4 linked regions of the Tamandua tetradactyla genome follow. The protein of the gene in region 1 interacts with the protein of each later gene in a pairwise test. Links are inferred from orthologs where the notes say so. Each region holds a gene or a part of one and is shown in the gene's direction. Other genes may lie near its edges.

Region 1 (7,924 bases):
TCCCTCCACCTCGCTCTGCCCCCCTGCACCGCCTCTGCCCTGTTTTGAGGGTATCTCTCTTTCTCTCTGTCTCTTGTTTCTTGGCTACCCTCTGTTTCCTTCGGTGACTCTGTCTCTCTCCATACCTCTAGAACTGACTGCCTCTCTCCCTTTCTCTCCATCTCTCTCTCTCTCCCTCTCCATCTCACCTCCCAGGGTCTCTCTGTCTCTTTTTCTCTGCTCTTGTGTCTCTCTAGGCCCGTCACTCCCCATCTCTCACTCTGTGTCTCTCTTCCTTTGTCTCTCCAGGTTGGGTGGAGAAAGAAACCTACTACTGACTTCACCCCGTTACACAGTCTGTCTCTTCCCAGCCCCCCAAGCCCAGGACAGCCCTGTCCAGTGCCCCCCGTTTTATATTCTGGGGGGAGGGGCCCTCTCTCCCTGTGGCCCCACCTTGGCCCCATCCCCCCCCCGAAGTTATCTCCTGCCCCTCTCCCCCAGGCTGGCTGCTCTCCCCCCACCCCTGCCCCCTGCCTCTCTCTCTCCCTCTCCCTTTTCTGTGTCTCTGTTTCTCTCCCTTCCTCACCCTTCCATCCCTACCCTCCCTCCCAGCCCTCTCCTGGCCTCTTTTTTACTCCTTTCACTCCCCGACTGACGCCATCTCTGGTTCTGGACAATTATCAAATATATCAATGGGGAGAGAGAAGTGGTGTGCCGTGTTGTGCTTGCTTTCCAGACTAATGGTGCTGGGGGGACCGTGTCCCATGGGGGTTCGCGCTGCTGGGTGATTCACACAACTCCAGAAATTTAGCCTGGCTCGTTCGTGAGAGCCACAGAATCTCAGTAGGTTAAGGAATCCGCAGGGTTTAGGATGCAGTGAATGCCAGGGCAAGAGCAGCTTGAATTCGTCTGGTGATGGGATTATAGTGTCAGCGCAGGGAAGAGGCTGAGAATAAGAGTTAGGACTGTGGAGTCGGGGACCCTCTCATATTGGAGTAGGGTCTCCGGGAGGTGGTGGGGATGAAGATGATGATGATGGCGGTGGTCCACTGAGCTCCCACCGTGTGCGCTGTGCTCTGATGGGTCCGGCTTACATCTGAGACCCTCCCACGTTGTCGGACCTATCGCCACCCCATTCTCTTGCCTCGCTGTTCAGTATCCGATTGTGTGAATCTAACACTCTTTGTTTATCCATTCGCCTGTGGATGGACATTTGGGTTGTTTCCAGCTTGGTGGCCCTGACGGTGTGAACTGCGAGGAATAGGAACCTCCTAGTAATGTCTGTAGATGACGTGTGTGCACCGCTGCTGGGTACAGGCCTGGGAGAGAAGTTGTTGGGACACACCATAGACTATGTTTAGCTTCAGCAGAAACTGCCAGGCTGTTTTCAAAGCCCTTGCACCATTTTGCATTCCCACCAGCAGTGTATGAAAGTTCCAGTGGCTCCGTGCCTTCACCAACACTCTATATTGTCTTTTTAAATTTTAGCCATTCTGGTGGGGCAGCTACCCCACTTCCCTGGAGGCTGCCTCTAACACAGCTCAAAGACACAGGTCAGAGGGCAGGGTGGGGCCAGACCCAGGCCCACCTGGCTACCAGTGTGAGGTGTGTGGGTGGCCCGGATGCTCCGAGGGCTCATGTGAGTGTGGGTTGTTGCCTATGTGTGTGCGCGTGACCATTACAGCAAGCGACAGCTTAGGGAGGAGTGCTTGTGTCGGAGCAGGGAAGGGGCCGTGGGTGCTGGACTCCCCTCCTGGTGCCCAGGACAGAAGCTTGATCCTGACAGAGCTGTGCAAGCTTGCACCCCTCTTGGAAGGCCAGCGAAGCACTTTATTCATCTAGTGCCCCCAGGTGTTAGTAACGGTGTGGTACCTGGGAATCCTGTGTTTTATGCATGATTGTTCTGTAAATCAACAACTTCTCTAACAAAAAAGGAAAGAAATACTCACATATACAGATGGGCAAACTGAGGCCCAGAGAGGGGAGGGACTCCCTTGAGGTTACACAGCAGGGACTATAACCCAGGATCCTGATTGTCTATGCTAAGGGCTTCTGACCTTCTCAGCGCCACTTCTTCTGGGAACCCAAGAGGCTGGAGGGCACACAGGGCCATGCTCACATCCCACAGTCTTGCCAGGGGTCCCTGATCTCTCCCCATCCCCCTAATCCAGGACCCCTTCCCCCACAATCCCTCTGTCTCTGGGCCCCATCTCCCACAATTCCCCTGTCTCTGGACCCCATCTCCCACAATCCCCCTGTCTCTGGGCCCCATCTCCCACAATTCCCCTGTCTCTGGGCCCCATCTCCCACAATCCCCCTCTCTCTGTGACCCCATCCCCCACAATTCTCCTGTTTCCGGGCCCCATCTCTCAGAATTCCCTTGGCTCTGGGGCCCACCACCTCCCACAATGCTCCTAATTCAGGGCTCACTTCCCCTCAACCCCCTGCTGTAGGGACCTGTTATAGTTTGCAAGCTGCCAGAGTGAGATATACCAGAAATGGAACAACTTTTAAAAAGGGGAATTTATTAAGTTGCACATTTACAGCATCCAGGGAAAGATACTTTGGTTCGAGAAGGCCTATGATGTTCAGGGTTTCTCTGTCAACCGGAAAAGCACATGGCAACCTCTGCTAGCCTTCTCTTCAGGCTTCTTATTTCATGAAGCTCCCCCAAGGGCGTTTTCCTTCTTCATCTCCAAAGGCTTCTGGCTGCATGGGCTCTTGTGACTCTCAAGCTTTCTCCAAAATGGTTCTTTCTTAAAGGGCTCCAGAAAGCAACCCCACCTTGAATGGGTAGAGAGACACCTCCATAGAAACCATCTAATCAAAAGCTGTCACCCACAATTGGGTGGGTCACATCTCTGGGGGTAACCAAAAAGCTTCCACGCAGCAATACTGAATGAGGATTAAAGGATATGGCTTTTCTAGGGTCCACCACAGATTCAAATGAGCACAGTCTCCCCTCCCACAGTTCCTATTTCAAGGGACCCTTCTCCTACACTGCCCCTGTGTCAAGGCCCCAACTTCAAAACTCCTACAATTCAAAGTTCACCCTCCTCCTGGGGTTCAGAGGGTCCCTCCCCTATAATGTCCTCTCCTCTGCAACCACATCTCTTGCCGTGGTCCCTGTGAGACCACTATACATCATCCATGTTCCATGTCTCCCAGCCTTTGCCCAAATATGTCAACTACTCAGAACAGGTACTGGCAGGTGATGGAATGAAATCACTTTGAATCAGTTCTCATAAGGAAACCCATTTCAAGGTTGGCCATGGAGAAAGAATAACATCTTGGGAAGAGGTAGCTGGATCTTGGCTTCCAACTTTATTTCCCCAAGATTCATCTTCCCTTCGGGGGCGCTTCCACTGGTTACCTCTGCCACCCCCATCCCAGTGCTGCTAGCCCATCCATGCTCTAGGCTAACTGTCCCTCTATAGACCTCCTTTGATTTTTTGAGGCAAAGCTGGACTTGAGTTGGAAAACTTGAACAAATTGGAAAGCCCAAGGATGACAGAGGGGAAGGAAATGGTAACTAGACAATCTGACCCTCATTTGTAGCTTGGGGCCGGATAGGCACACCATCAGTAGCCTCCCTGACTACTGCTGCACTAGCTCCCTTGGCAGGAGTCATCTTTCCCCACCTCCAGCAGGAGTGCCCTCCACCAGGGCTGAAAGGCCCTACCCAAAAGGCCTGAGCATCTTGGGAGATAAGAATTGGGGCTAACAGTCACCTGGCTATTCCCCGTAGGTTTTCTCCCTTCAGTCCCAGGCTTGGAAAATTACGACTTCACTTCATGTAAGGAGCCCAGACTTCATGGCACTCCATTCATTTCTTAAGGCCCTGTTCCACTGCACCCTCTTTAAAATTCTGGTCCTGTCTTCCCACAATTCACCCCGGGGCAGGGACAGTCCACTGAGGAATTTGTTTAAAGACTTTGGGAGAACCACAGCTGGGGAACTAAAGAAAGGCCCATGCCTCAGACACCAGCCACTCTTTGGGATACCCAAGGGGCCAGAGTCCCCTAATATGCAACTGTGAAATTGGGGAAGGCTGAACTCCAGAAATGATCATCATAACATTAATGATGATACAGTGTTGACAGCAGTGACTATATTTATTGAGCATGTATAAAGTGTTGAGAACTTTAAGCACTTTATCTGGCTCATTTAACTGAATCTTCATAACTCCATGAGTGTGGCACTCTGAGGCTCGCCACTGTCCAGATGAGGATGTGAGGTTCAGAGATATGACTCAGTCAAAGCCACACAGCCTGCATTTTCAATTAAGTCTCACCTCAGAATCCCAGGTCTTTTAGTTATACAAGCTTCCTCTTTTATAAATTTGCAGCTCTTTCCCCCTCACAACTTCCTTCCTATGCCAAGGTGCGTGGTGGGCGGGGTCTAGTCCTAACCCATTGGACCCTGAAAGCCCAAAGATTGGAGGGAGGCTGTGCTTCACTCCCAGACACCACCCCCACAGCCACAGCCCTCCTACTAGCCTCTGTCCCTGGTGGGAGAAAGGAATAATTTCCCACGAATTCTCTACAACTTCGCTACTCAAAATGTGGTCCAGGGACCAGCATCATCAACATCACTTGGGAACGTGGTAGAAATGCAAATTATGGGCCCCACTCTAGACCCCCTAAACCAGAGCATCTGGGGTACGGGCCCAGGAATCAGTGTTTTATTAATTTCTAGTGTTCACAGCACCACCTTCTTCCAGGAGGGCTCCCATAATACCCTTACTCCCGACAGCTCACCTTCCCCGACTCCACGCCCCCAGCTCTAGAACTACAACTCCCACAATGCCCAGAGATTTCCACTGCCCCCCCCTTCCCTGGGACTTCATTGGGACTACATTTCCCAAGGTGATTTGCGAGCCAGTCCTCCATCATGGCGCCCGCACCTCCCAGACACCTCCAGGACTACAACTCCCAGAAGGCTCAGCGGCAGCCCTACCGTCCCCAGTAACTCCCGAGCCGTGCCACGTCCATTTCGCGGGTGAGGCCGGGCTTGGGCGGGGCCCGGGGTGTGCGGGGCCCCGGGCTCCTTTCGGTGGTTCTGCCCCTCACACCGCAGATATGGCGGCCGAGAAGAACCAGCAGAAGGATGCCGAAGTGGATGGGATGAGCGCCACGTGAGCGACCCGGCCCTAGCCACTCCCCAACCCAAGACCCGGAGTCCGGGCTCTGACCCCCTGTACCCCCGGGTCCCAGGACCCCCTATGGCAAACCTCTTCTCTCAGACACCAGAGTCCAGGCTCCCGGTCCCCTTCTCTTCGAGGACTCTGGAGTCTGAGCCCCTCCTTCCCTCCTCCCCGGGGTCCAGGAGTTCGAAGCCCCACTCCCCCAGGAGCCCGGAGTCCGGCCCTCTCAACCCTCATCTTCCTCGGGGTCTCAGGCCTCTATCCCAGCCTACCGCTGACCCGGCCTCGTCCTCCAGGACCCTGCTGCCCAAACTGATTCCATCCGGCCCGGGCCGTGAGTGGCTGGAGCGGCGCCGCGCAACCATCCGGCCCTGGGGCCCCTTCGTGGACCAGCGGCGCTTCTCGCGGCCCCGCAACCTGGGCGAGCTGTGCCAGCGCCTGGTGCGCAACGTGGAGCACTACCAGAGCAACTACGTGTTCGTGTTCCTGGGCCTCATCCTCTACTGCGTGTGAGTGCTTCTCCCGCCCGCCCTGGCCTCGCCCCCACCCGGTGGCCCTGCTCTGCCCGGTGGACCCCGCCCTCAGCAAGCTGCCGCACCCCTCGCTGGCCAGGCCCCGCCTTGTGTCCCAGAGGGTGGGGTCCCTACTCCCCTGACATCTGGGCTAGGCCTTGTGACCAGCGTGACCTGGTGTCAAGGAAGAAGCCCTCCATCTGCCCTGTAGAAGGATGGGGGACCCCTGGCTGGCCAGTCCCTGCAACCTGACCCCTGCCTCTCTTCACTCCCCTCCTTCCCAGCTTGACGTCCCCCATGCTGCTGGTGGCTCTGGCGGTCTTCTTTGGTGCCTGTTACATCCTCTATCTGCGCACTCTGCAGTCCAAGATTGTGCTCTTTGGTGAGATACCCCTTGGCCAGACCGAGCCCCGACTTCTCAACTTCTGGACTCTCTGAATGCAAACCTCAGACCCCCAAACTTAAATTTAAATTCAAGTCCCTCTGAATTTAAATCTACTCAAACTTAGATCTACCCTAAGTCTCCTACAGCTCATCTCTTAAAATCCCAGACACATTAGATGCCCCTACCCAGCCTCAGCTCTCTCAATTGCTATTCTCCAAATCCACAATGAGATACCCCAAACCCACCCTTCACCTGGCTCCTCCCCAAGCCATTCCACTCCTCCCTAATTGGTCCTCCCTAACCTCTGCAGAAAGCATCAGCTGCAGGTACCCCCATTGGACACCAGGTGGTGGCCTTACACTGGCCTAGTTCCTGTTCTCTCCCCTTTCCTGCTTCCTGAGATAGAAGCTGGAAGGTGGGACCAGAAAGAGCTTAGGACTTAGAGAAGCTGAGACCTATGGCTTTATAAAGTACCTTGTTGTGGTTCCAGCCTGGAATGAGGTTCCATTGGGCAAACAAAGGAGGACCTTCGTCCCCATCCAGGGGAAGCTCAGGTTTGGAGTGGGGGCAGGGAGAAGTTGGGATCACACAATCAGTGAGACTTAAAGTACTTCAGGGACTGAAACTAAAATTCAGGGGCCTGCAAGTCATGTACACGATGAAGGTGGACTGGGTGAGGAAGTGCTGGGCCACCCCAGGACATGGAGAGAGCATCTAAAGCTTAGCCACGACTTGTCTTCGGCCTGTTGCTGTCACCAGAGAATGCAGTAGTGTCACCCACTTGTTCTTGGAAAACAGTGTACAGGTTCAGAAAACATAGCCACAGGTCAGACTTGGTCCAGGAGCCATCAGTTTGAGTTCCCTGGCCTACATGAGTTCAGGTTGGAGCAGGAGAGCCCTGTACTGGGAAGGGGGTGCTAGGAGTTTTCTAGAGGAAGAAGGGTTGAAGGGCAAGTGGTCGGAGGCTGAGGACAAGTTTGATACTCCAGAGGAAGATGGGGATGTTGGAGAGAAGCTGTGATCAAGACTCATGGGGTCTTGGTGAGATGGGTTTGAATTAGATCCTAAGGCTCTAGAGCTTGTGACACCAGATTGTTGGGGGATGGCGGGGGAATCTGGGAGAGGGCATGGAGTGTCGGAGCCGTGCCCCAATGCCATCCACCCCCCAGGCCGAGAGGTGAGCCCAGCCCATCAGTATGCCCTGGCCGGAGGCATCTCCTTCCCCTTCTTCTGGCTGGCCGGTGCGGGCTCAGCGGTCTTCTGGGTCCTTGGTAAGTAAAGATCTGGGTGGTATGGCCAGGTGGGGACATGCAGGTGAGGGAGCCTTGCCCTGACCTGCCCAGTTTCCTACAGGTGCCACCTTGGTCGTCATCGGCTCTCACGCCGCCTTCCACCAGGTGGAGGCTGGGGATGGGGAGGAACTGCAGATGGAGCCTGTGTGAGGTGTCTCCAAGGACCCGCCGCTTCCCAGGCCAGCTCCCCTGGCTCCTTTCACCCATATCCTGCAAGGCTCTGCTGCCGGGGCCCAAGGCCCCCTTCCCATTACAAGCCCAGGGGAGGAACTCCAGCTTTGGAAATAAAGCTGTTACAGTTGTTATTCAGCAGGTGTCTCCTAGTGTCTTCTGTGTGTCTCTGTAGAGTGATGCTAGGGTACTGCTGTACCCAAGATAGATGGGCCCCAGGTGTGGGAGACGACCGTACAGATGTATAAGTGAAGTGGTCTGGGGTGTCAGATAGTGATATGTGCTGAGGAGAAAAGAAACGTGGGGAAGGGGTCATGTGTCGGGGGTCCCCATGAGCAGCCCCAAATTCTATGATTCACTGGGAAGACACACAGGACTCAGCATATAGCCAGCTCACAGCTGAGATTTGTTGTAGTAAAGGGACACCAGGCACAATCAG
Region 2 (6,830 bases), on another chromosome or scaffold:
GATTAAATGATTTCTTTGCCCAGTATTTTAGAGGGTGGGCTCACAATTCTAATTCAAGCTTCAGTACTGATTAATGTTGTGGTATTATACAAGCTTCTAAACTTCTCTGATTCTGTTTACTTAAATAATAATAATCCCACCCAGATAGGCTTCTTGTGAAATAAGGTGAAGCAAAGGAAACAGAGCAGAGTGCCCAGCCCTGAAAAAGTGCTCAATAATGGCATCTGCTGTGATAACCAACACAGGGATGGTAGAGGCAAAGATGATGTTAATATATACCCAGGGAAAGGGATGGGTGTGAGGGAGCACTTACTTGGGTTTCACCACTTTGCCACTGTTAACCTCTTATGAATGTACATTCACCCAAAGTAAATTACATTTCCCTTGACTTTTTAATAATCACTGCCTTAGGAACAGCAAAGATGGATTCAGGTACTTAGGGAGGTTCTTTTCTCTTCTCTGTGAAAGCATCAGCCGTGTGACTCAGATTGCTGAGTGGAGACAAGGCAGCATCCTACATGAAAAACTGGCAAGTGCACAAGAGATCTCGGAGCATCTGCAATTAGTCGACAGTGTTTATTGGGGCTTGGAAACCTATCTAAAATAATTTATGCTTTAAATCAATGACAGTTGTCAATGAGCCTGTGAGGGAATTCTTGCTTGGACTCTCTGGCTTTTACTGCAACTTACATTGATAGTAGCAAAAAGTGAAACCTCCCAAGCAGAAGGTCAATCTACTCCAATCAGTTAAAGTGGAATTACGGCATCAAGTTTACACATCACTGAATGACCATGGGTTTAGAGGTGTGTATGGTAAAATAGCTGCTAGTGTTAGGCATTTAACAAGACTATTTTTATTCCTAATTGCTGGCATTTGCTTAACTGTTTTCTTAATTCTAATTTATGTTTTTATGTTCTGGTTTGTTTACAGAGCCCATAGTTCCCAATTGCCTTTATTTGCTTAAATGTTTCTTTAATTTTATTTACATTTTTATATATGTTGCTTTTGCTTACATAACTCATTGTTTGGAATGGGCTAGAAATAACCATAAATCCCCATTGCTAATTAGCCTCATCCTCATGACTGATTAGTCAAGATTATGAGCCTAGAAGGAGGGCAGGCAGGGGAGGAGGCCTGATAGATAGTTACAGGATCATTGAATTTTAGAGTTGGAAGGCATCTTAGAGTTTAAGGCATCTTTCATATAGATTTCTGTAGTTTTACATCTTTAACGTGGAGAATTACAAAAGATTGTCATTGCTTTTGTCCTTTTAATAAAAAATAAGTAAGGGTGCTGCTTTGGCAGCACATTATACTAAAATTGGAATGATGCAGAGAAAATTAGCATGGCCCCTGCACAAAGATGACATGCAAATTCGCGGAGCATTAAAAAAAAGAAAAAAGTGAGGACTTGGTGACAGCTTTGAAAAACAAGTTAAGAATAAAGAGAGAACCCAATCAGGGATGACTGTGAGTAACCTATAATATGGGGCTTGAAAGTAGAATCAGAAATTTGACACATACCTGGGCTATAGAAGATCCAGGGATATTAACAAACCTGAGGGGGCTTCTTTCTGAGGTAAGTAAGCAGAATGGATTGTTTGGAACTTCCTCCTCAGCAGCTGTGCAGTTTGTAAGGATTTTAGCTTGCCTAACTGAAAGGTTAGCTATTAGCTTTGCAGTGGTAAGTCGTTAAAAGTACGCATATCATATGAAGGAAAGAATCTGGAGCTGAGAGGGCTACTTCTTTCATACTATGACTCCATCTGGCATTTAAAGAACTGCTTGTCTTAGATTAAACTCTACAGAATAAGAGCCATTTTTCATACCTTTGAACCAGTATTTTGATTTCAGGTAAGAGAGTTTATTGAGTTTGGGAACAGAACTTTTTTGAACCAGTGAGCCAAAGGATCCATCTAGGGTGAAATTCCCTGAATCCAAAATAGAGGAAATATGTTAAATCCCCTGCTTGGGAAATCAGGTTAAAGCAAGATCAAGTGTCCACCAGATGTGGTAGGTCCAGATCCCAAAACAGTGTGATGCTTTTAGTCATTTATTGACAGGGTAGAATGGAAGAAGTTGCATGATACATATGAAAAATCAGTGGCTGGAGTCACCAATATTAAATGATTCAGGGATATGGGGGAAAGTAGACAGGAGAAAAACAGTCTATTCCCAAACAAATGTATCTTTGGGGTAAAGAGCTCATTTCTGCAGCTTCAGTACATCTGAAAGCAGCTAAACACAAACACTGCCAAAGGAGTAGTCTATGAATTACCAGAAGTTGCAGTGTATAAAGGGTTGTAGGCCTTGAAATTAGTCCTGGACTTGGGCCTCTTTTTCTCCTCCCAAACCCTTTGACACATTCTGCTATGCTCCCCTTTCAAGAGAGAGTGTATGGTACTCAGATCCGCTCAGACTTCAAGTATACCCAGCGCCCATCTAACTGGTCACCCCCTGAGGGGCAGCAAAAGGCCCGCGCACTGGCGCCAACTCCGACTAAGCGCCTTCTCAGTTACTATAGTAATCGTGAGAGGGGCGGGGCCACCATCCGCTTTTTCACCATCACCGCCCAGGATATTTCGAACGCTCCAATTGGGACAGCCCTCTCATACCTCTGTCCCACCCCATTCGACTCCAAGCACGACGCGATTGGCCCGGGACACGCGGCTAGTACTCTGAGGGTACCACCAAAAGACGGCAAGAACGGAAAAGTGTACCAGGCTTGAAGCTCACGCGGCAGTTGCGGGGGAGCACACGGTTGGCTCCGAGCGAGTTGCTACGTGTTCCTACACGACACCCCCGACTCCCTACCACTAACATTAGGGGACTGGAGTCGGGGTGCGACTACAATGTTTGCGGGTCGGGATAATCGCAATGGACAAGGACGCGACCGCGTCGTGAGGATCCTGTGGCGCGCACCCAGGCGCTAAGGATCCGAGGCCAGAGGGGGCGGTTCGAACTCCATGGGTGGTGCCAGTGGCGGCGGCGGGAGGCGTAAGGCCCAATGAACACGCGCGCCGCCTCCGGAGGCGGAGCATACGGGTGCGCTCCCCCGCCCGCCCCGCTCGCCCCCGCCCCTCCCTCCGGGCGCTGGGGCCGCAGTGAGTGAGTGGCACTGGCAGCCTGTCAATCCCTCAGCCAAGCGGCCTTCGAGCCCGGTCCGCGGCGACTGCTGGCTGGGTGCGCTGTTCAGGCAGTGGCGGCGGCGACTTCTCCAGCCCCATCAATCCGCTGCCCGCTCGGCTGGCCGCGAAAGGACCCTCCATCGGGCTTCTAGTCCTTGTCGCGCTAGCCCGCTCGCTCCCAAACTTTCCTCCTCCGCCCCGTTCGCGTCCCTCGGCCCGTCCGCTGGCCTCATCCTCCGCGACCGCCCGCCGCCGCCGCTCCCTCCCCTGGGGCCGCTGAGGCGCGGATCCCGCCTGGCTGAGGCGGTGGCGGCGGCCAAAGGAGGGGAGTGCGCAGGCTGGCGCGGGGGGTGGCGGGCGTCCCAGCAACTCGGCCAGGGCTAAGGAGCAAGTTGCGCGGGGCCGCCCGGCGGGGCGCAGGACGACAAGGAGGCGGTGCGGCGGCCGCGTGAGGGCAGCGGACTCTGCTGCCTCCGCCACCGCCGCGGAACCCGGCGCTTCCGCCAGGCGCTTCTCCCCAGCCTCAGCGGCGGCGGAAGCCCAAGCCCAGGGCCGGTCCGCGCCGCCTCAGCCGCGGGCCCCGCCGGCCCGGCCGCCCCCTCCCGGCGCGGGTGGGGAGCGCGCGGCCGCCTCCCCCTCCCCCTCCCCCTCTTTCTTCTCCTCCCTCGCCGCCGCCGCCGCCGCCGCCTCAGCCTTCTCCTCAGCCGCCGCCGCCGCCCGCTCCCGCCCGCGCGCGGCGGGATGGACGATCAATCCAGGATGCTTCAGACTCTGGCCGGGGTGAACCTGGCCGGGCACTCGGTGCAGGGGGGCATGGCCCTACCGCCTCCCCCGCACGGCCACGAAGGGGCGGACGGCGACGGTAGGAAGCAGGACATCGGCGACATCCTCCACCAGATCATGACCATCACCGACCAGAGCCTGGACGAGGCGCAAGCAAAGTTGGTGTCGTCTCATTAAGCATCTTTTGTGTGCGTGCGGGAGCCGGGCCCGCGGCTGAGTCGCGACCCGGGGTGACGCTGGGGGCGGGGGTCTCAGTCCCCAGCGGGGAACTTTCTCCGAAAACCGGTCGCCCACCCTGGCCTCGGGGGCACTTGCCCGCGCTCCTCGACTCAGGCGGGAGTCGGAGAAAGTTGTTCTCGGGGTTTGGGACAGATTTGGTGCCGCGCGGATGTTTTGTCTTTCTTTCCTTTTCTTGTCCAGCCTTCTTGCAGCCCGGCCCCCTCCCAAGATTTAAACCTCCCGCCTGGACCCCGGTGCACACTGCTGGGAGAGAGGTCCGGGCTGCACTTGAGAGAAGTGCAACTTTCTCCTCGGGTCCTGAGCCCCAGCGCCCGGGGCTCGACCTGACCAAGGACGACCTTGCTGTGCGGGCGGTCACCTCAACCCCGGCGCGGGACGATGGGAGGCTCCCCGGCGGGTTCGGATGCGGCCGGCCAAGTTCTCCGGGAAGGGAGAGCCGCCCCGCAAACTTTGCCGAGCTGTCACCCGTCCGCTGTCCGTGGCCCGCCTGCGGGAGCAGCACCCGCTCTTCCCTCTACGGAGAGCTGACGCGGGAGCCTCTCCGCATCCGCCCTCTTCCTCGGGTCGCTGCTGCCTGTCCATGTATCAAGGCTCCCAGCGCGGGTTCGCGCCCTGCGGTCGCCCAGGCTGCTGCCTGCCGGGCAGATGAATCACGCTTCGTTCCAGCTCGAGCTTTCGCCAGAGCTTCCCGGCTGTCGCTAACTAGTCAACTTGAGTTTCTTGTTGACTTCCCATCGTTCAAAATAGCCTTTCAAAATAGAGGACCGGAATTAAGTCTTGGGTCTAACTTAAAGGAAGGCGCCATATTATTCCATAGGTGATGCTAATACCTTTGTGTTTTGCTATTTGTTTTTTTAGGAAACATGCTCTGAACTGTCACAGAATGAAACCCGCACTCTTCAGCGTTCTGTGTGAGATCAAAGAGAAAACAGGTAAGAAGCTGCGCCCCGCAGTGGGCCTGGAGACCCCTGAGGTGGGGTCGGAACTACTCCTTCGACTCTCCAGTTGAGAGCTGCTGCTTTTGGGCACCGCCATCTTTGATCATTCTCTCCTTCCCACCTCCTGATCTTGAGAAAAAAACTGCAATAAATCTGGTGTCGATTTCTCAGTTCTACTTCTGGTCTAAAATGAAGTGTAGACCCGGACGTGGCTGGGTCGCCATCCCCAGGCGGCGGCCCCTGGCTGCAGGCTGGGAGGGGGCCCAGAGAGCCAGCCACCCTCTCTGCTCCTTTCGCCTTGTTTGTGTGTCAGGTTTTAAAAGGAGCAACGGGAGACTGGATGCCAGGGAATGAGTCCCTGAGAAGCATCGCCGGAACTTTGTTTTACTTAGACAGCCTTCAGCATCAGTTCCACAGATAGAAGAATAGAGGCAATTGAAAAGACCCCAATAGCATGTTCTAATTAGTGTTTTTAGGTGAGAAAAATACTTTTGAGAAGTGAAGAAAGAGTAATGATGTATTTAGGCACATACACTATTGCATTTATTATGCTTGAAGTTATTGCATTGTAAATAGGCGTAATATATATTATAAAGTAGGAAAAGATCCTCAGATGCAGGTTGAACAGTTTTTGAAGTGTTCAAGGCAGGAATATATGAGTAGGAAGGTTTTACACAAGTGTTGGAATGAACACTACAGATACATATTACGCAAATTTTTGGCAATTCATTTCAATTTAACTTTCTTGTAAGACTTAGGCAATTGACAATGTTTTAGTCTCAATGTGATAGCAGTGGCTCCAGTGGAAATAGAGATTTAATTTAGATGCTCTTGTATGTGTTTGGCAACATCTGCCCTGTGTATGGCAAACAAATACATTAAACAATCTTTACTATTGAATATCTTTTTCTTTTTTTGGGTGTGTGTTGAATATATGGTATTTTAAGTTGCCATTTTTCAAGTTAAGCCAAAGAAGAAAAAGTTCAAGTCCAGAATATAGGAATATTTAAGTAATACTATTTAAAAGGTTTAATTTGATTGTGATTAAATTGATAGCATACCACAAATAACTGTTAGGTTGATAGGTGAGTTGCCTCCCTTTTAAACAAATTTTTCATCCTGCAATTCTGCTCTAATCCTAAAACTAATCAAGAAAAGACCATGAGTTTTTGCAGTCTATTAAGATATATGTTAAAGCCATAATTAACAGCAAATACTAAAAGAGCTTAAAGTGTGCTTTCCCTGTTTTTCATTCACGTGGCATGCATGGTTTCTTACTGTTGAGCAATTCTTTATAAAATGTGTTTTGCATTTGGAGAATCGTGGGCATTTTAAATTACCAACTTTTTTTTTGTGTTGATTTTTAGTTACCTTTAGAAAGCATTGTGATTTAAAATGGTAGATCATTTTTCTGACTATAAAATAAAATATTAAGCATTGAATCTTGGAAGATTCTTAGTATAGAGGCCTAAAAGTGCATAGTTCTCAGTAAATTATGTTGTTTAATGTCCAAGGGTTTTTTTGCTATCTGGGCTCCACTTCAGTTTCTGCTGACAGCTAAGCACTGGGGTATTGACTATGTTGTGAATATTAAGATTGATTCTACTTTGTACAGCATTATATTACTAGGGAGAGGGGGTTGGTACTTCTCCCCTTCTAGCCCCCTTCTCATGATTTATATTTATTTTTTTGTTTTTTTAAAGTTTTGACCTAGCCAGCTTGAGAACCAAACCTAGCAAA
Region 3 (7,293 bases), on another chromosome or scaffold:
TCAATTCATTGACTTGATTTTTGATGAGGTTTTCCATGTCTGTTCGAACATTCTGAATTAATTGTTTCAACTCCTGTATCTCATTTGAATCGTTGGTTTTTTCCTTTGACTGGGTCATATGTTCAATTTTCCTAGTATGATTCATTACTTTTTGCTGGCGTCTAGGCATTTAATTTCCTTAATTAGCTTATTCTGGGGATTGTTTTCACTTTTTTTACCTAGGATTTTCTTGCTGGATGATGTCTTTGCCTATCTGTTCTTTGGCATTCAGTTCAGCTTATTCTGGACCTCCAGCTTAGGTTTTGTTTAACAGATCAGAATTTTTCAGTTCTTGTTTCTTGCCCTGCCTGTATGGTGCCTTTTTCCCCCCTTAGGAGGGTCTACTTAGGTATTATAGACCCCAATCAGATTTTCCCGGACCAAATTGGCCTCCCCTCAGGAGGAAAGAGTCACCTGTGTCAGATTTCCCTGAGGGTGGGACCCAGCAGGTTGAAACGCTTTCCTATGAAGCCTCTGGACTCTGCTTTTTTTCCTATCCTGCCCAGTATGTGGTGCTTGTCAGCCTGTGGGTTCCACCAGCATAAGGTGATGTGGTACCTTTATCTTCAGCAGACTCTCTCTGCTAGGGATGTGGTTAAGACAGAGGAGAGACTGTAGGCTAGGGATGTGGTTGAGACAGAGGAGAGGTTGTAATTGCTTCAGTTTTCCAGACCTCAGGGTCTGAATTCCTTGAGGGAGGGATTCCACCTGAGCTGGGCCCAACCCCTCTCCTGAGGAAGGTATAGGCTCCAGACAAACTCTCACACAAGCTTAATTCTGCCTTGTGTGGGGCAGTTGGAGCCCGAGAAGCCTTGCAGTTGTATCCAAAGAGCAGTCAAGCTGTAGATACACAGGCACAAAAAAGAACAGGAAAAAAAACCCTTTTCAGAGCAGGACCCCCATTCCTCAGGTTTGCCAATGAAGAGCTTAAGTTAGTACGTTGCTCTGTGTATCTCCAGGTCCTATGTGCCCCCTCCTTTCCTTCAGGGCTCAGACCCTTTCAAGTATTTTGGGCTGTCTGATCTAAAAAAACCTATGCTTTTTTTTTTCTTTTTTCTTTTTCCATCAGCCCTGTCCCCTCTGCACCAGAGCAAAAACCAGCAACCTCAGCTTTTACTCAAGGTTCTACTGAGCTGGGGCCCTATTTTTAGTAGTCAGAATTTGTTAATTAATTCCATAATTAGGGTTTGGTTGAGCTAAGCCCCTTGCTGTTAGTAAGTCTCTTTCCTTTCCCCTCTGAGAAGCAGCCTGTGGGGGAGGGGCGCTGGCTCCGCAGCTTGGGGAGCTCACGGTTCTGGGTGGGATTGCATTCCGTCCAGCTTGTCCAGAGTGGGGTACACTGTGTGTCCGGTCACTGATGTGGCCCCAGCAGTTGTTCTGTACTGTTGCTGGCTACTTTCTAGTTGCTCTGGAGGATGAACTAAATCCCATACTCCACTAAGCCACCATCTTGGACCCACATTTCCATGGTTTTGTTCACACACTCTTGTATTCTGGATAAATGGCTCCTTCAGCCAATGATCCAAATTTTATCCTTTTTCAAGGTCTGATTCAAATACCACTTACTTTATGAAGTGCCTCTAATTTTTGGAGTTGGAATTATTTCCCTCTTCTGTATATCCACCTCATAACATTTTTTGAACATTAGATTCAAAATTGAGGTTTTATTTATATGCTGTTAAATTTACCCTTTTCAGGTGTACGATTCTGTTGAGTCATATACAGTTGAGTAACTAACCATTGCTGTAATCAAGATATACAATATTTCCATAAACCAGAAAGTTCCCTTTGTCCCTTTCTAGACAATTCTGTCCTCCCATTCCTAGTTTTTGGCAATTACTGAACTGATTTTTTCCTTATTCACTTCAGATCATTTTAATCTATTTTTGCATTTTCCCCTCTAGGCCTTGTCTGGCTTGTGTACTTATCTCTCTACCACTAGATTGTAAACTCCTTGAAGACAGAGAACCGTAAATCATTCATTTTTGTGTTCCTCAACATTCTAAGTACAAGTTTCAAACCATTTATTGCATCCAGGAAATAAATATTTGAGGAAAAGAAGAAAGAAAGAGGGAAGAAAAGGAAGGAAGAAAGGAAGAAAAAAATGAAGGAAAGAGACAGAAAAGAAGAAAGGAAAAAAAAAAAGGGAGAAAGAGAGGGCAAACAGCTCTAGAAGAGTTTCCATTCCGCAACAGAGCAGCCAGCCCACAGGGCTCATGCTAGTTTAATGAATTATTTTGAGTTATTAAAGTGAATGATAAAGGAAGCTGCTCCTAAATACATAAGCATGAAATATATTAACAGTAAAGCTTTTAAACACAAGAGCTTAGACATTTTAAGTTTGGGAAAGAAATAATGTAAAATGACAGGCAATTTGCAGTGGGAGATAGGAAACACCCATCTGCCATTCCCACTCTGCCTCTGCTCTTGCGCATTAGATCATCACAACAAAGGCAAGAAGCCTTTGTCCTTGGTATACAGCAGGCACACCTAAAACTTTCAGGGAAGTTAAGGGATGGAGAAAAGTAACATTCACTGAAAGCTCCCAAAGTCGTTGAGCTATATGCTTTATATTGTTTTATTTATCCTTTCACTTGGGTGAAAAGTTATTAGGAGGCAATTCTTTGTTGGAAAAGACAATAAGCAATTAAAGGAAGTTCACCGGTTAAACCTCCAAGGGAGACACAAATTAGGAATTGTATTTTTGTCTCAGGCTGTAGCCTTGAGTGCTTTTCTGATTTTTTATTATTATTATTCTACGAAATCTCTGTAAGCAGGAAGAATCGAGGGCTGTTAAAACTCCAGATTAGTAATAGTTTGGTAGCTATCATTGACCCTTTCTTTTCCTGGGGTGGTGGCTATGTTTATTTCAGAAATCAACATTATGCGAAGGAATTCTTGTGTACTGGTTGATGAGGTTGCCAACTAAGACACATGGTGGAATTCACCTTCTTTCCACATTTTGGTGTCACGGGAATTTGAAGTGATTTTGCAATCAGCCTCGAGAGATAATTTTCTCCATCCTTAGACCTAGGTGGAAGATAAACTTTGGACAATGTATTATACTATGCCCTTTGTAATTCAAGAACCCAAGATAATTTGTTAAAGTTTAGTGGAGATTTAAATTCCTGAGCTGATTAAAGAAAGCTGACCATAAAAATTTTAAAAACGTGTTAATATTACTCACGGAGTTCTCAAGCATTTTATAGTGATGGATTGCATGTTTCTAACACACTCCTTTCAAGCCTTGCAGAATGGCTCAGTTTTAAGTATCGACTAAAATTAACAATGGGGCCAGAACAGGAGGATCTCGAATTTTAGACTAAGGATTCCGGGCAGAGTGCCGTCCAAGCAATGCGGAGCCATCGACGTTGTGGGATCTCGAAGTGCTGTTTCGGGGATATAAATATGGCTGTGTGCGCAAGATAGACTGGAGATTGGAGGAGTTAGAGGTAAACAGTGCATCCGGAGGCTAGCGCTCCAGGCTGAGGTGGTAAGAGCTGGAATAGGAATGGAAAGAAGTAGAGAAGAAAAATGTAACGCACGCGGCCAACACTGGACGAGGACCGGACCCAGATGGGGTTGGGTGAGTGAGTAAGAGAACTGAAAAAACAGCCTCGTGTTTTCCAGACACTAGGTCTTTTGCAGAGGCCCCTTTATTTCCCTTCTGACTTCACAGGGGACGTCCTTGGACCAGCCGAGAAGTCAAGCCTCAAGCTGGTCAGGCCAGCAAAAGCCGGACGGAAAGGGGGACCCACCGGTCGCTGTCTCCAGCCACGCTTCCCTCCCCGCCTCCGCAAACAGGCGGTGTCCTCCACCTCTTCTGACCCCGCCTTCTCTCTGCCCCATTCTCCACACTGTTCCTCCCCTCCCTCTCGCCCCTCCTCGTCCCGGTCTCCCCCCGCCCCCTTCCTCCGCCGCCGGTCCGCACCGCCCTCTGCCCCTCTACTCCCCCTCCCCGTGGGGCGCTGACTCTCCCTGCTGCCACGTCTCCCTGATGACATCACCAGGACCGCTCCTCTTTAGCCAATCCGCTAGGGGGAGTCCGAGCGAAGTCCTAGTCAGCGAGTCAGCGTACAGCGGGACAAGGAGGGGCGAGAGGGAGGGGAGGGAGAGCGTGGGGAATGGGGCAGACGACAACCCTTTAAGTACGCATGCACCAGAGTCGCACGGCTTGGTGGGAAACGGAGTCCTGGCGGCCGCGCTGCACGGTCGGCCCTCAGCGTTCACAGTCGCGGCTCGCGACTCTGTTTCCCGGCATGCCAGGCGGTGCGGCCGCCCTCTGAGCTGTATAAAGGCTCCTCGGTGGAAGGCTTCCCTATTTCCTGGTTCGCCGGCGGCCATTTTGGGTGGAAGCGATTGCTGAGTGGCGGCGTCTGCTGATTGTGTTCTAAGGGGACGGAGTGGGGGAAGACGTTTGCTCTCCCGGAACAGCCTATCTCAGTCCTTCCCTTAGATTACCCGTGGCGCGGAGAGTCAGGGCGGCGGCTGCGGCAGCAAGGGCGGCGGTGGCGGCGGCAGCTGCAGTGACATGTCCAGCATGAATCCCGAATAGTGAGTGCAGGAGAGCACTGGTCGGCTGGGTTGGTGGGCCAGGTTGGGGAAGCTCAGAGGCGGCCAAGAGGGCTAGAAAGAGTGTGGAGACATATGCCAGGGCGAAGGGAGGGCGATGGAACGAGAGAGGTCGGCGGCCGGGAGTCCCAGCCCCATTGTTTGACGGCTGAGGGGCGGCGGGGAAGGGGGTGGGGAGGGCGGGCCGGGGGGCTGAGGGTCCGGGGCGAGCCACCGGGGCCTGGGTAGGCTCAGGGTGGAGAACGGGAGTGCGGGGCCGGGGTAGAGGAAGGAAACCCGAGAGAGTTGAGGGGGGTGGGGCGTTTGAGAGTCGGGTGGTAGGGCAGTGTGAAGGAGTAGCTTTCCTTGAAGCGGTGACTGCTTAAGGAGGACTTGTTTTTGAGGGGAGAGGTTAGGATGGGAGAGCTCTTTCATTAGCGGACCCTGTCAGACCCAGCGTCCGCACTCTGCGGAGCTGTCAGGATCGCCAGGGTGGAAACCAGCTTTACTTGTAAATCCTGGGCTTGTTGGCTGTCCTTCCACCCTCCCCGCCAGGTTGCAGGTAATATGGACGTTTCTCAGGACTGCGTGGGATTGAGGAGAATGAGTAGATGGGAAGAAGTGGTTTAAAATTTGAATTCTGTTTCCTGGAAGAATTCAAGAACTCGCGGGGTCCATCGGCTTCCTGGGAAACCTGATCATTTGGGAGATGATTTTTAGAGACACAAGTCATTTTGTCTTCTATAGGTAAAATACACACACACACGAATAAATAAAAAATGAAACCAAGGTATATTTTCCGGAAATTGCCAATTTAAAGGAAGCTTTGCTGTCAAGTTGAAAGAGAACGAATGGCACCTATGATAGATCTGTAGGTTTTGGATTACCTGCTTGAATGCTTGCAGGTAGGGAATGAGGTTCCGTGACGTGTCATGAAAAGTTAATGGATTTCTTTTTCTTGCTTACGCAAAAAGTCACCACAGCAGATGTTAACACACCTGACACTTTTCCTGAGAACTAGTGTTCACTTTTCTTGGGAAGACTTTGTTGAGCTTCCTCACTGACCCTTAAAAGAAAATTCTCATGTCTGTGTGTGTGTGTAAACAAATAATTGGAGGGGATTTAGTTGGTATTCCTCTTCGGTATCAGAAGTTTTTAGGGAGAAGAGCAATTTTTCCTAAAACTTGAGTCTTTGTGCTACTTTAGTCAATTCCTGCTAAACATTTCCACCTAAACACTTCTGCCCATGAGTTTAGCGGTCGTGTGTGTCACATGGCTCTTGCAAAATGCATTCTGACTTCAGGTTTTGTAATACTGTGGTTTGTTGCTGAAACGTCCACTTTTGTGCTAGACAGAAAACGTAGTATTTTATGTAAGGATTTGAGGATACTGTTCTTAGAACAACATATTTGCTAAGTTGACAGCTTTTTAATTATCAAGGGCTCCAAGGACAAAGTCAGTTTTGCATTAAGTTGGACAAAGGTGTTTTTGCCTGGTCAGACATTTGAATTTGAAGTCTCTAATCCTGGCTACAATAGAGAACATGGATTTGCCACTTTATTGAGGTTTTTAAACCTATGCTGTTCAGGGAGTTTCCTATCTGCTACATACATTTTACATGTATTTAGTGCTGTGGACAGATATTGTTGAACATTGGTTGAACAGAAACTTGACAAACTGTGTAACCTCTGAATCAGTTTCTTCTTTTATTAAAATGGAATAATAGGAATCATTCTTATTTGGATAGTGGTGAGATTCAAATGTTTGTAAAAGAATTTGAAAAACTATAAGAACACTCTTTTTATCATTATCATATATCATTTAGGAATATAGTCCTTACCATCAAGTTGCTTAAAATGGAATACGGAAAACAGATTGTATATATGCTAAATACTAGTAAATACTGCAAATTACAGATGTGTGACATGGACTAGTAGATACTGCAAGTTACAGATGTGTGACACGGATTGGGCTAAAAAGATTTTCAGAGGAGGGTAGCTGGTTGGCTGGTTTGGTGAAGGAAAACTTAGAAAAGGACCTGTAAGGAAATTAGAAGTGATTAGATTTGGTGAATCAGAAGTGAGTATGGAGAATTTTTCAAGGGGAAAAAGGAACAATGGCTAATAAACGACAAGGAAAATACTTCTGAAGTATCATATTATCCTTTGTTTTGAGGACTCTAGATTAATGAACTTAACAGAATCAGACCCAGAAATAAATCATTTTTCTGACTTCTCTGGCGTGGTTTGTTGCCATTGTAAAAGTGATTAGAGAAAACTTGGAAAATGAAAAAGAGAAGGGAAGAAATGAAGAGTTTTATCAACCAGATATAAATCCATTTTTTCAAATTTTAGACTTTCTTTTAAATTAAAACTTTTAGTGAGTGTATGTCCTTCCTGATTCCAGAATGTGGTCTTAATGGCTACCATTTATAGCCACTTTATGCCAGGTTCTGCTAATGTGAAAGAACAGTGTGTTAGCTAATGTTTAGAAGTGCATCCCAAATGTTCTTTAACCTGTTCTGGTTTATTGTCTAATAATTTATCTTACTCCTTTTAGAATTTTTAAAAATCTGCTTTATGGGTGCTGCTGAATTTGCTAAAGAAGATGGGTTCTTGGCAAAAGAAAAGATTTGGCTTCCTCAGAAAAAAGAGGATTTTAGATTTTTATTGGTTGACATGAAATTACCTGTTGGTAGCTTTT
Region 4 (7,989 bases), on another chromosome or scaffold:
AGGGCAGCCCGTCGAAGTCCAGCTTGTTGGAGTTCAGGTAGAGGCGCTTCAGCTTGGTCAGCTTGCAGATGGCCGACTGGTTGGGGGGGGGGATAGGCAGGCAGGGGCTAGTCAGGCTGGGCACAGCAGCGCGCCCCCCCCCCCCCCCACGTGGCCAGGGAGCCCGTGCACGCACAGGCAGTGAGGTGAGCTGGTTGCGGGACAGGTTCAAGGTCTCCACATGCACCCACTGGTCGATGCACAGGGACAGCTCTGTGATCTGGTTGCTGCTGAGGTTGAGGCGGCGCAGGCTGGGGAGGGTGTACAGGCACTCGGGCACCCGCGTCAGGTCATTGCAGGACAGGTCTACATCTGGGGACACAGGCAGTGGGAGTCAGCAAGCGCCCTCAGGGCCTTGAACCCCAGTTCCACCATCCACAGGCTGTGCAGCCCTAGGCAAGTGAATTAACCTCTCTGAGCCCGTTTCTCTCCATGGAGAGTAGCACAAGTTCTAGGTGTAGAGCAGGTGCTCATAACCTAGCAGTACTTGCTGCATCACAACCACAACAGAATACTCATGTAGCCCTTCTCCTCCCTCACGAAGGGGTCAGGGAAGGGGGCAATCGACACCCCATCAAGTTAGAGGGGGACCCCCTGACCTGCCAGGCTGCTCAGGCCCTCCAGGCTGGTGGGCAGGTTGCTCTGGGTCCGCTGGGTGTTGCGCAGGTGCAGGGTCTGCAAGGCCGTCATGGCAGGGAGCTGCCTGCAGGGACACAGGGCAGGCTGGGCACGTGGTGGGGGCAGGGCCAGGCCCCGGGAGCAGGGGGTGGTGCCTTCGCTGGGAGGGCAGATGGGGGGCTGTATTTGCCCAGGGGGACAAGGCCAAAGGTGGCTGCAGGCAGAACTGATGACATTTAGAGGCCTGAGGGTATAGCAGGCCCCAGGCCAGGACTCCTCAGAAGGAAAGGCTGTGGGGGTGGGGCCTCACGGGGTGGGGCGGGTCCTCATGGGGCAGGGCAGAGGCGGGGCCCCGCCTCGCGGTGGAGGGGCAGGGTGGGGCGGGGCGGGGTGGACCTGAGCTGGGCGTGCAGCAGTGGGTTCCCACTGAGCAGCAGCGTCTGCAGGTGCCCTAGGCGGCGCATCTGGGGGGGCAAGCTCTCCAGGCGGTTCTCGCTGAGGTCCAGATACAGCAGGTCGGTGAGGTTGATGAAGAGCTGGTTGGGGATGGTGTCGATGCTGTGGGCGGGAGGGACGGCCTGAGCGGGCGCCTGGCAGGTGGGGCCCACGCTCCTGCCCGGGACCCCCAGGTGGACCGGCACCTGTTGTGGCTGAGGTTCAGCACCAGCATGTTTTTGGCATTCTCCAGCTCTCGCGGGCACTCGGTCAGCTGGTTGTAGCTCAAGTCCTGGGTGGGAGGGAGCAGGCCCTGGTCAGGGCATCAGGGGCTGGCCCCACCTGCCAGACCTGTGCCGGCTCCGGCACCAGGGAGGAGGCATCCAGGGGAGAAGCAAACAAGGGGATTCCAGGGCCAAAGGGAGGCAGCCCTGAGAGGAAGGGTATGGCCACTCTGAGCCTCAGTTTCCCCACGTGAAAGTGGGATAAAAATGGCCCCAGAGACCACAGCTATGGGGTGGGTGGGGACTGCGTGGTTGGGGTGACCCACCAGGTGGGTGGACAACCACTGACCAGGACTGAGAGGTCATCCAGTTTGAAGATGTCATCAGGGACTCCGGAATTCTTCAGGCTGTTGGCTCGAGCCACGATGGCCTGGGGAAGAACCGTGAGGGCCTGTGAGTCTCAGCCTCCACCCCCAAGGCTGGAGAGGGACACTTCCTTCAGGAAGGCTGCCTGAGTGCTGTCACACCTCTGGACCTCTTCCGCCTGGCAGGCTCTTACTCATACCTCAAAGCCCAGCTCAAATGTACCTCACAGCCCAGCACAGGGCCCTCAGGGAACCTTTTCTAGATCTGAGTCAAGGTTTCTAGAATGGAGCGACCAAAGAGAAATCAGTGTGTGGACTGAGAGGAAGACAGCAGAGCTGCAGTCTGCTTTCTGACCCCCTGGGTGGAACTTCCACATACCGCAGACCTACAGGAAGTTCGTGGGGGTGGAGGAGGTTGTCCCATGATTGTAAGAAGCAGTGGTAAGAATGATAATAGCCACTAAGGCTTACTCAGTGCCATTCCACCCTACTTGCACTTGGGGCCCAGGAAGCTGAAGTGACTTGTCTAAGGTCATGCAGCCGGAAAATGGCAGAGTTCACATTTGAACTTGGGCAGCCTTGGCCCAGAGGCTGTGCCCTAAACCTCTCAGGTCACTGGCTGTGGACCTGATCCTCGTTGTCCAGGGGCTCCCCTCTGACCCTCCCACCCCAACTAAGCTCACCCTACCAGCCCCACCACTGCCAGGTGTGACCTGACCTCTGAGCTTAAGTTTCTCCCCTCCCAAAATAGGTGGAAACCAGGGTTAAATGATTTACTACTACTGCGTTGTTACAACCCAAAGTGGGTAATCAGGACTTCTTTTCTTCTTTTCCACTCTGGCCTTCTCCAACTCACACGCCTCACCTTACACAAGCATTATTATGTCTTCCCTTCTTTATGCCTCGGCCCCTGATTCTCATATGGGGGTAGACAGAAATGCTGGCCCGGCCGGGGATCTGGCCTTGCCCTTCCTCTCCGGGCAGGATACCAGCGCCTGCCCCTAGGCCCCTCCCATGTCTGGCACCCCTCCATGCTCGTCAATACCTCACCCCTGTGCCTGGAGGCCTCCCCCTCCCCCCAGCACTCACCCGAAGTGATGGCAGGCTGGACAGCTCTCCATGAAGTGTGGTCAGGTTGTTGTGGCTCACAGACAAGTGCTCCTGGGGCAGGAAGGGAGACGGGCTCAGCAGGCTGGATGGGGTCCACACATGTCCTGCCCACCACTGCAGCCTTGTACCCCATGGGGGGAGGGGCCTCGGCCACGCAGGCCCAGTCTATCTCTGCCTTCTCCTCACTCACAGGCCTGACCTCTTCTTGCACACCTCCCATGACAGGGTGCTTACTCCCTCTCAGCCACCTCTGACCACGACTGTCAGAGTGTTCCTCCTGTGCTGGCCACCCTTTCCACCCAGCCCAGGCTCATTCACAGGGACACCCTCCTGCTCCCCGCCTGAAGCCCCTTACCAGCTTCTGCAGAGCGGCCAGCTCCTCTGGGAGGTAGCAGAGACCCGTGCGGTTCAGCTTCAGCCATCGCAAGCTGGTCATGGACTTGACATTCTCAGGGAAGTAGCCACCCTGTGTAGCCACGGAGTGCCATGGTAGGCATGTCTGGAGAAGGGAGGCACCCCCTCCCGGTACCCCCACTCCACCACCCACCCATCTGGGTGACCCTGGACGAGTCACTTCATCAATTTCCTTACCCATGACATGGGGCTAATAAAAGCCCTCACATGACAAGTGTTGTGAGGATGGACTAACTGTAGGTGTGGTTGGTGGCCTGAGATCTATTTGTCCCACTGGACTCTGAGCCCGGGGAGGACCCGGACAGGACAGTACCTGGCTGAGGTACGTTCCAGATTTGCACTTTGTCTCGCAGCACAGCCCACCCCCTCACACCCCCACCAGGTCCTGACCCCACTGTGCTGAGGCCTCGGCTTGCCACCCCCATGGACTCCCAGTATTCGAATGCCCCAGGTGCACATGGGCAGATGGGGGCTGGGGGGTTCGGGTCTGCAGTGACAGCCCCTCCCTGCTTGGGGGAGGAGGTCTGGGACAAAGAGTGCTCTCCGTGCCCCTGGCTGGTGTCCCCTTTCCCCTATGGCCATCTTCCCAGTCTGTAATGCAGCCTCTCCTAGTGCAGAGAGGACACCTGGAGACCCCGTGGGGATGGGGGACAGGGTGACATGCAGTCAGCCCACGCCTGGGCATGGGAGTCAAAGGTGTGGTGGTTTGCTGGGAGATGCAGGAGGAGCGAGCCCCAGGCTGACGCCCAACCCCAGGCAGAGCGGGGGAGGGGTGGGGGGCCCTCAGACCCCCACCTAACAGCCCCAGGCCCATACCTGCCCCGCACACTGCAGCCACACATCCCCCCACCAGGCCAGCTCTCAGCTGCGGCCCTTCTCTGGAGTCACAGCCCAGCCCACCCCATTCCCGATTCTCTCCAGGACAACCTCCTCTTGCCCTCCAACTGGGCAGCGCCAGGTAGGGGGCAGGGGTGGGGAGGGGGCCGGTAAGAGAGGCAGACCCACACCACCGGGGCTCACACCGGCCTGCACACCCTCCAAGCAACTTATCACGCCCTCCGGACACTCCCAGGAAGGGCTGCAGGGAGACCCTCCTCCCGGAGAGCAAGCCCGGGTCTCCGAGGAGGAAGTGTCTGGCCCAACACCGCACAGGATGTGGCCAGGGGTGGCGGCGGGGCGGGGCAGCGCGGGCGTGAGTCAGGGCCTGGCTGGGCGGTGCGGCCTCCGAGGGGCACGACTGGGGCTGGGGCGGCGTGAACAGGGGCCCGCCGGCCGGCCCAGGGTCGCCCCCGCCGAGAGGCCCCTCTTCTCGCAGCCCGGCCTGAGAGCCGTCCTCCCGCCCGGGCAGCGCGCCGGGCCTCGGGGCCGCGGACTCCGGCTCGGGGCAGGGCGCGGGGACGGTCCCGGAGCGCCCGGAGGGCCACACCCCGGCCCGGCCGGCGATCGCGGCCGCGCGCAGGGCCCCGCGGGCGGCCGAGGAGCGGGGGGCGGCTGGGCCCGCGGCGGAGGAGGCGCAGCGCCCGCGAGCAGGCCCGGCCGGCTCACCTTGAAGTCGTTGCCGCTGAGGTCCACGCCGCGCACGAACGGCAGCACCCCGGTGGCCTCCATGGCGCCGCTGTCGCCGGCGGCCGGGCAGGGCGCGCAGGGCGGATCCGGGAGGCGGCCGCGGGCTGGGCCTCCGCCGCCGGCTCCGCCCCTTTAACCCGCCCGCGCCCGCCGCACCCGCGCCCCGGACCGCCCTGCCGCGGGAACGCGCCTGCCCGCGGGGATCGCCGGGTCTCGGGGCGGGGAGGGCCTTGGCTTCGGCTCCTCTGACGGCGGCAGGGTTCAGCGTCGGCTCCGAGAACCCCGCGGCGGGACCCGGGGATGTTGCTGCAGTCGTCCGACTGGGTTTGAGGGGTTCGGGGGCCCGTTCCCGAGGCGCCCCTGCCTGCCCCAGGGCTTGGCCCGGGCCACCCTATACCTGCGGCCGCATCTGTGAAACGCTTCCTAAGGCCAGACGCACCCCCACCTCCACGTGGAACTCCCAGCATACAGCAGGCGCCCAATGGTGCACGTGTTTGCTATCCCTGCTGGGCATGAGCTCCCCCAGGTGTGTTCCCGCGATCTCCCGCCTCGTGGCCCCCCGAATGCAGCTCCCACAGGGGCGGGGTCCGGGCGCAGTCCAGCGACCCCAGAGCAGGCCGGGCATTTCCCAGCTGCTGCTGTTTTCAGCCACGCCGTGCGGGGCCCTGCTTTACAGAAGGGAAAACTGAGGCCTGTGGAGCATGGACACACCCCCTCACCCCAGGTCACCAGGTGGGCCAGCAGGTAATCCTGAAATGCCCTCAGGTTTCTGGCAGGTGACCTCAGGGCGCCCGGCAAGTGGTCCCGGGAGAAACGTGGGCCCAGAGAGCTTTCTTCACCCCCAGGCTCACTATCCCAGGGCACCCAAGTCACAACGGGCCCTGGGGGCCGCTCATTCCACGCGCCGGGACAGGCCTCCCAGCCTCCACTTCCCAGCCCGCCGCGGGCTCGAAATGGAGTCCTCGGCCTTTAAGTCGAGAGGAAGTCGCGCCGGGCGGGGGGCGTGGCCAGGTGCCCATTGGCTGAGCTGCGCAGTATTTTGGCACGTGGGCGGGGCGCTGTGCGCTCTCGTTGGAGCTCGGCTTCCTCGTCTGCGTGCCTCTGGGGGTCACCGCCCGCCTCCTCCGACCCCGGCCCCGGCGCGCGCCTCCCGGCTCTGCCGCGTTCCATTCCCAGGTGGGCCGGGCGGGGCCCGCTTCGCGCTGGGGCCCGTTCGCGGGGCCGCGACCTGGGTACGGCGGGGCGGGGGCAGCGCCTCGGGGCCCGCCGCCCGCGCTCGAATCCCGTGTTGGGCAAGCCCCTCGGTCTCCGGGACGCGGGTTCCTCGCGTGGGGGCGGGCCGGGCGGAGGAGGGAGGGGTCACGCCTGCCCCCCGCGCCGGCTCCTGGGGCTGGGGCCCGGGCCGGGGCCGGGGCCTGCTCGGCCGCCGGCGCTGGGCGGGCGCCTGCGTAGCCAGGAGGGAGGTGTTCAAATCGGTGTACAGTTCGCGAAGTGGAGGCGGGTGAACCCCCGGTGGACAAACCGGCCGCCCGGCGGACTGGTCAGCCGGCTGGCCGGTGTCCTCGCGCGGCCCCTGAGACCTCTTGTTCTATTTTTAGCCTGGGCGGGTGGGTAGGTGCTTGGGAATGAGTCACTCCCTGGCCCGGGCTTCGGCGGGCACCTGGCAGGCCGGGAGGGCTGCGTCCCCAGGGCCCCAGCCGGCCGTGACTTCATGACGCGGGCTTCGGCCTCCCGGACTGGACAGTCCTGCCTGGTGTGTGTTTGTCCCTCCTGCAGGCCCGGGGCCCCACGCTGGCCCTGTAGCCGCCCCTCTCCCTCAGCAGGTGGGCTTGGTGGGCAGAGCCTGAGGCCGGGTCTCCCTTAGAATGTGGGGCTGGGTCAGGGCCCTGCCTCTTCTCACCTGCCTGAGCCTGCCCAGAAGACACCTGCGGACTCCCTCCTTCTGATCCTTTCTGTCCACCACCTTTGGCTGTTTTGCAGGGGAGGAAGTGGGTGGCGCTGCTGACCCTGACCTTAACTTCTGGGGTGCGTGGCCTCCTAGCAGCTGATGACAGCTGTCCCTCTGTCCCCAAGCCACTGGGCAGTCTCACGTCTGAGCTCTAAAAAGCTTCCTTGCTCACTGCCCCTGCACGTAGCAGGACTTGCGCGTGCCCTCTGCTGCCTGGAGCCAAGGCCGGCCCCCTCTGCCTGTCCTGGGGGTGCCCTGTCAGCATTCAGGGCTGGGAGTGTGGCCCCTGAGTCTTGCTGAGGTCCCCTTAACTCCTCCCCACCTGTCTACACTGGGAGTCTACCCAGCCCTGGTTGGAAACCAGAGCTCTAGGGCTGCGGCAGGCTCTGAGCTGGGCTCGTGGGTCAGAGAGGACCAAGTAGACTCAGGGGCCAGCAGGAAACACTGGGGTGCCACACGCTGTATGTTTGCGGGTTTGTGCCCCCACTGCTCACTGTGTGATCAGGGAAAAGCTGGTGGTGACTCCGACTCACTCCTCTGGGGAGGAGCCAGTCTGCATGAATCCCCCTTTTCCTGCAGGCAGTGGTGTGCAGGTTTGGGGGAGCAGGGCCTTGGGCAGCACCCTGATCTCCCAAGAAACCATACACGTAGCCCTTTTCTCCTGGGAAGCTGTCATGGGCTTGACTAAGTGCCCCAGCAGGATGGCTGCAGGAGCCCTCTGCCCATCCCTGCCTGCCCTGGGCCACCCCCTGGCAGTCCTAGCTTCTCCACTGGGGCTGCCCACATGCACGCATGCACACATACACAGATGTGCACACACATGTGCATGCACACACGCACACCTGGTTCTCTCCCAGCAGACCATGGCTGAATTCTCCCAGAAGCGGGGGAAGCGGCCCGACGGTGACATCTTCGGCACTGCTGTGGACTTCCTCCTGGCCAATGCCCGCCTGGTGCTGGGCATGGGTGGGGCTGCAGTACTGGGCATCGCCACCCTGGCTGTAAAGCGGGTAAGGCTGTACTGGGTAGGTCCCAGCAGGGGGCCGGTGGGGTGCATTTCAGTCCCCCAGTAGCTCGGTGTGTCCCACCTGGAGCTGTGCCTGGACCCCGGCGACCCGACCTGTGTCTCTGCCTCCAGCTCATTGACAGGGCCACCAGCCCACGGGATGAGGATGACGCCAAGTTGGAACCCACTTGCCTGGAGGATAGCTGGAAGGAGCTGAACCTGCTCAGGGCCACGCCGCGCCTGCACCCCCAGCTGCCTCCTGTC

The links.
Region 2: the proteins of RABAC1 (region 1) and PBX3 interact in a two-hybrid assay, tested with the Homo sapiens proteins (2 studies listed by BioGRID). The two-hybrid records come from large-scale screens. The link is inferred for Tamandua tetradactyla from reciprocal best matches to the Homo sapiens genes RABAC1 and PBX3.
Region 3: the proteins of RABAC1 (region 1) and RAB1A interact in a two-hybrid assay, tested with the Homo sapiens proteins (2 studies listed by BioGRID and IntAct). The link is inferred for Tamandua tetradactyla from reciprocal best matches to the Homo sapiens genes RABAC1 and RAB1A.
Region 4: the proteins of RABAC1 (region 1) and MIEF2 interact in binary tests that used the Homo sapiens proteins (3 or more experiments, as listed by UniProt). The two-hybrid records come from large-scale screens. The link is inferred for Tamandua tetradactyla from reciprocal best matches to the Homo sapiens genes RABAC1 and MIEF2.

Annotation. Positions count from the first base shown.
Region 1 is NC_135342.1:21,683,671-21,691,594, reverse strand, and holds RABAC1 (prenylated Rab acceptor protein 1), read left to right. Parts: upstream 1-4,914; 5' UTR 4,915-5,060; coding exon 5,061-5,116; intron 5,117-5,421; coding exon 5,422-5,634; intron 5,635-5,921; coding exon 5,922-6,019; intron 6,020-7,191; coding exon 7,192-7,293; intron 7,294-7,375; coding exon 7,376-7,464; 3' UTR 7,465-7,623; downstream 7,624-7,924. Other genes in the region: sodium/potassium-transporting ATPase subunit alpha-3, read left to right, coding at 289-317. UniProt on the Homo sapiens protein: General Rab protein regulator required for vesicle formation from the Golgi complex. May control vesicle docking and fusion by mediating the action of Rab GTPases to the SNARE complexes.
Region 2 is NC_135328.1:48,007,554-48,014,383, forward strand, and holds the start of PBX3 (pre-B-cell leukemia transcription factor 3), read left to right. Parts: upstream 1-3,818; 5' UTR 3,819-3,870; coding exon 3,871-4,070; intron 4,071-5,010; coding exon 5,011-5,084; intron 5,085-6,830. UniProt on the Homo sapiens protein: Transcriptional activator that binds the sequence 5'-ATCAATCAA-3'.
Region 3 is NC_135343.1:38,325,392-38,332,684, reverse strand, and holds the start of RAB1A (ras-related protein Rab-1A), read left to right. Parts: upstream 1-4,277; 5' UTR 4,278-4,570; coding exon 4,571-4,593; intron 4,594-7,293. UniProt on the Homo sapiens protein: The small GTPases Rab are key regulators of intracellular membrane trafficking, from the formation of transport vesicles to their fusion with membranes.
Region 4 is NC_135332.1:1,888,745-1,896,733, forward strand, and holds the start of MIEF2 (mitochondrial dynamics protein MID49), read left to right. Parts: upstream 1-4,982; 5' UTR 4,983-5,252; coding exon 5,253-5,297; intron 5,298-5,830; exon of another isoform or gene 5,831-6,003; intron 6,004-7,576; coding exon 7,577-7,729; intron 7,730-7,857; coding exon 7,858-7,989. Other genes in the region: FLII (protein flightless-1 homolog), read right to left, coding at 1-76, 176-351, 639-742, 1,054-1,215, 1,299-1,384, 1,666-1,746, 2,771-2,842, 3,147-3,257 and 1 more. UniProt on the Homo sapiens protein: Mitochondrial outer membrane protein involved in the regulation of mitochondrial organization.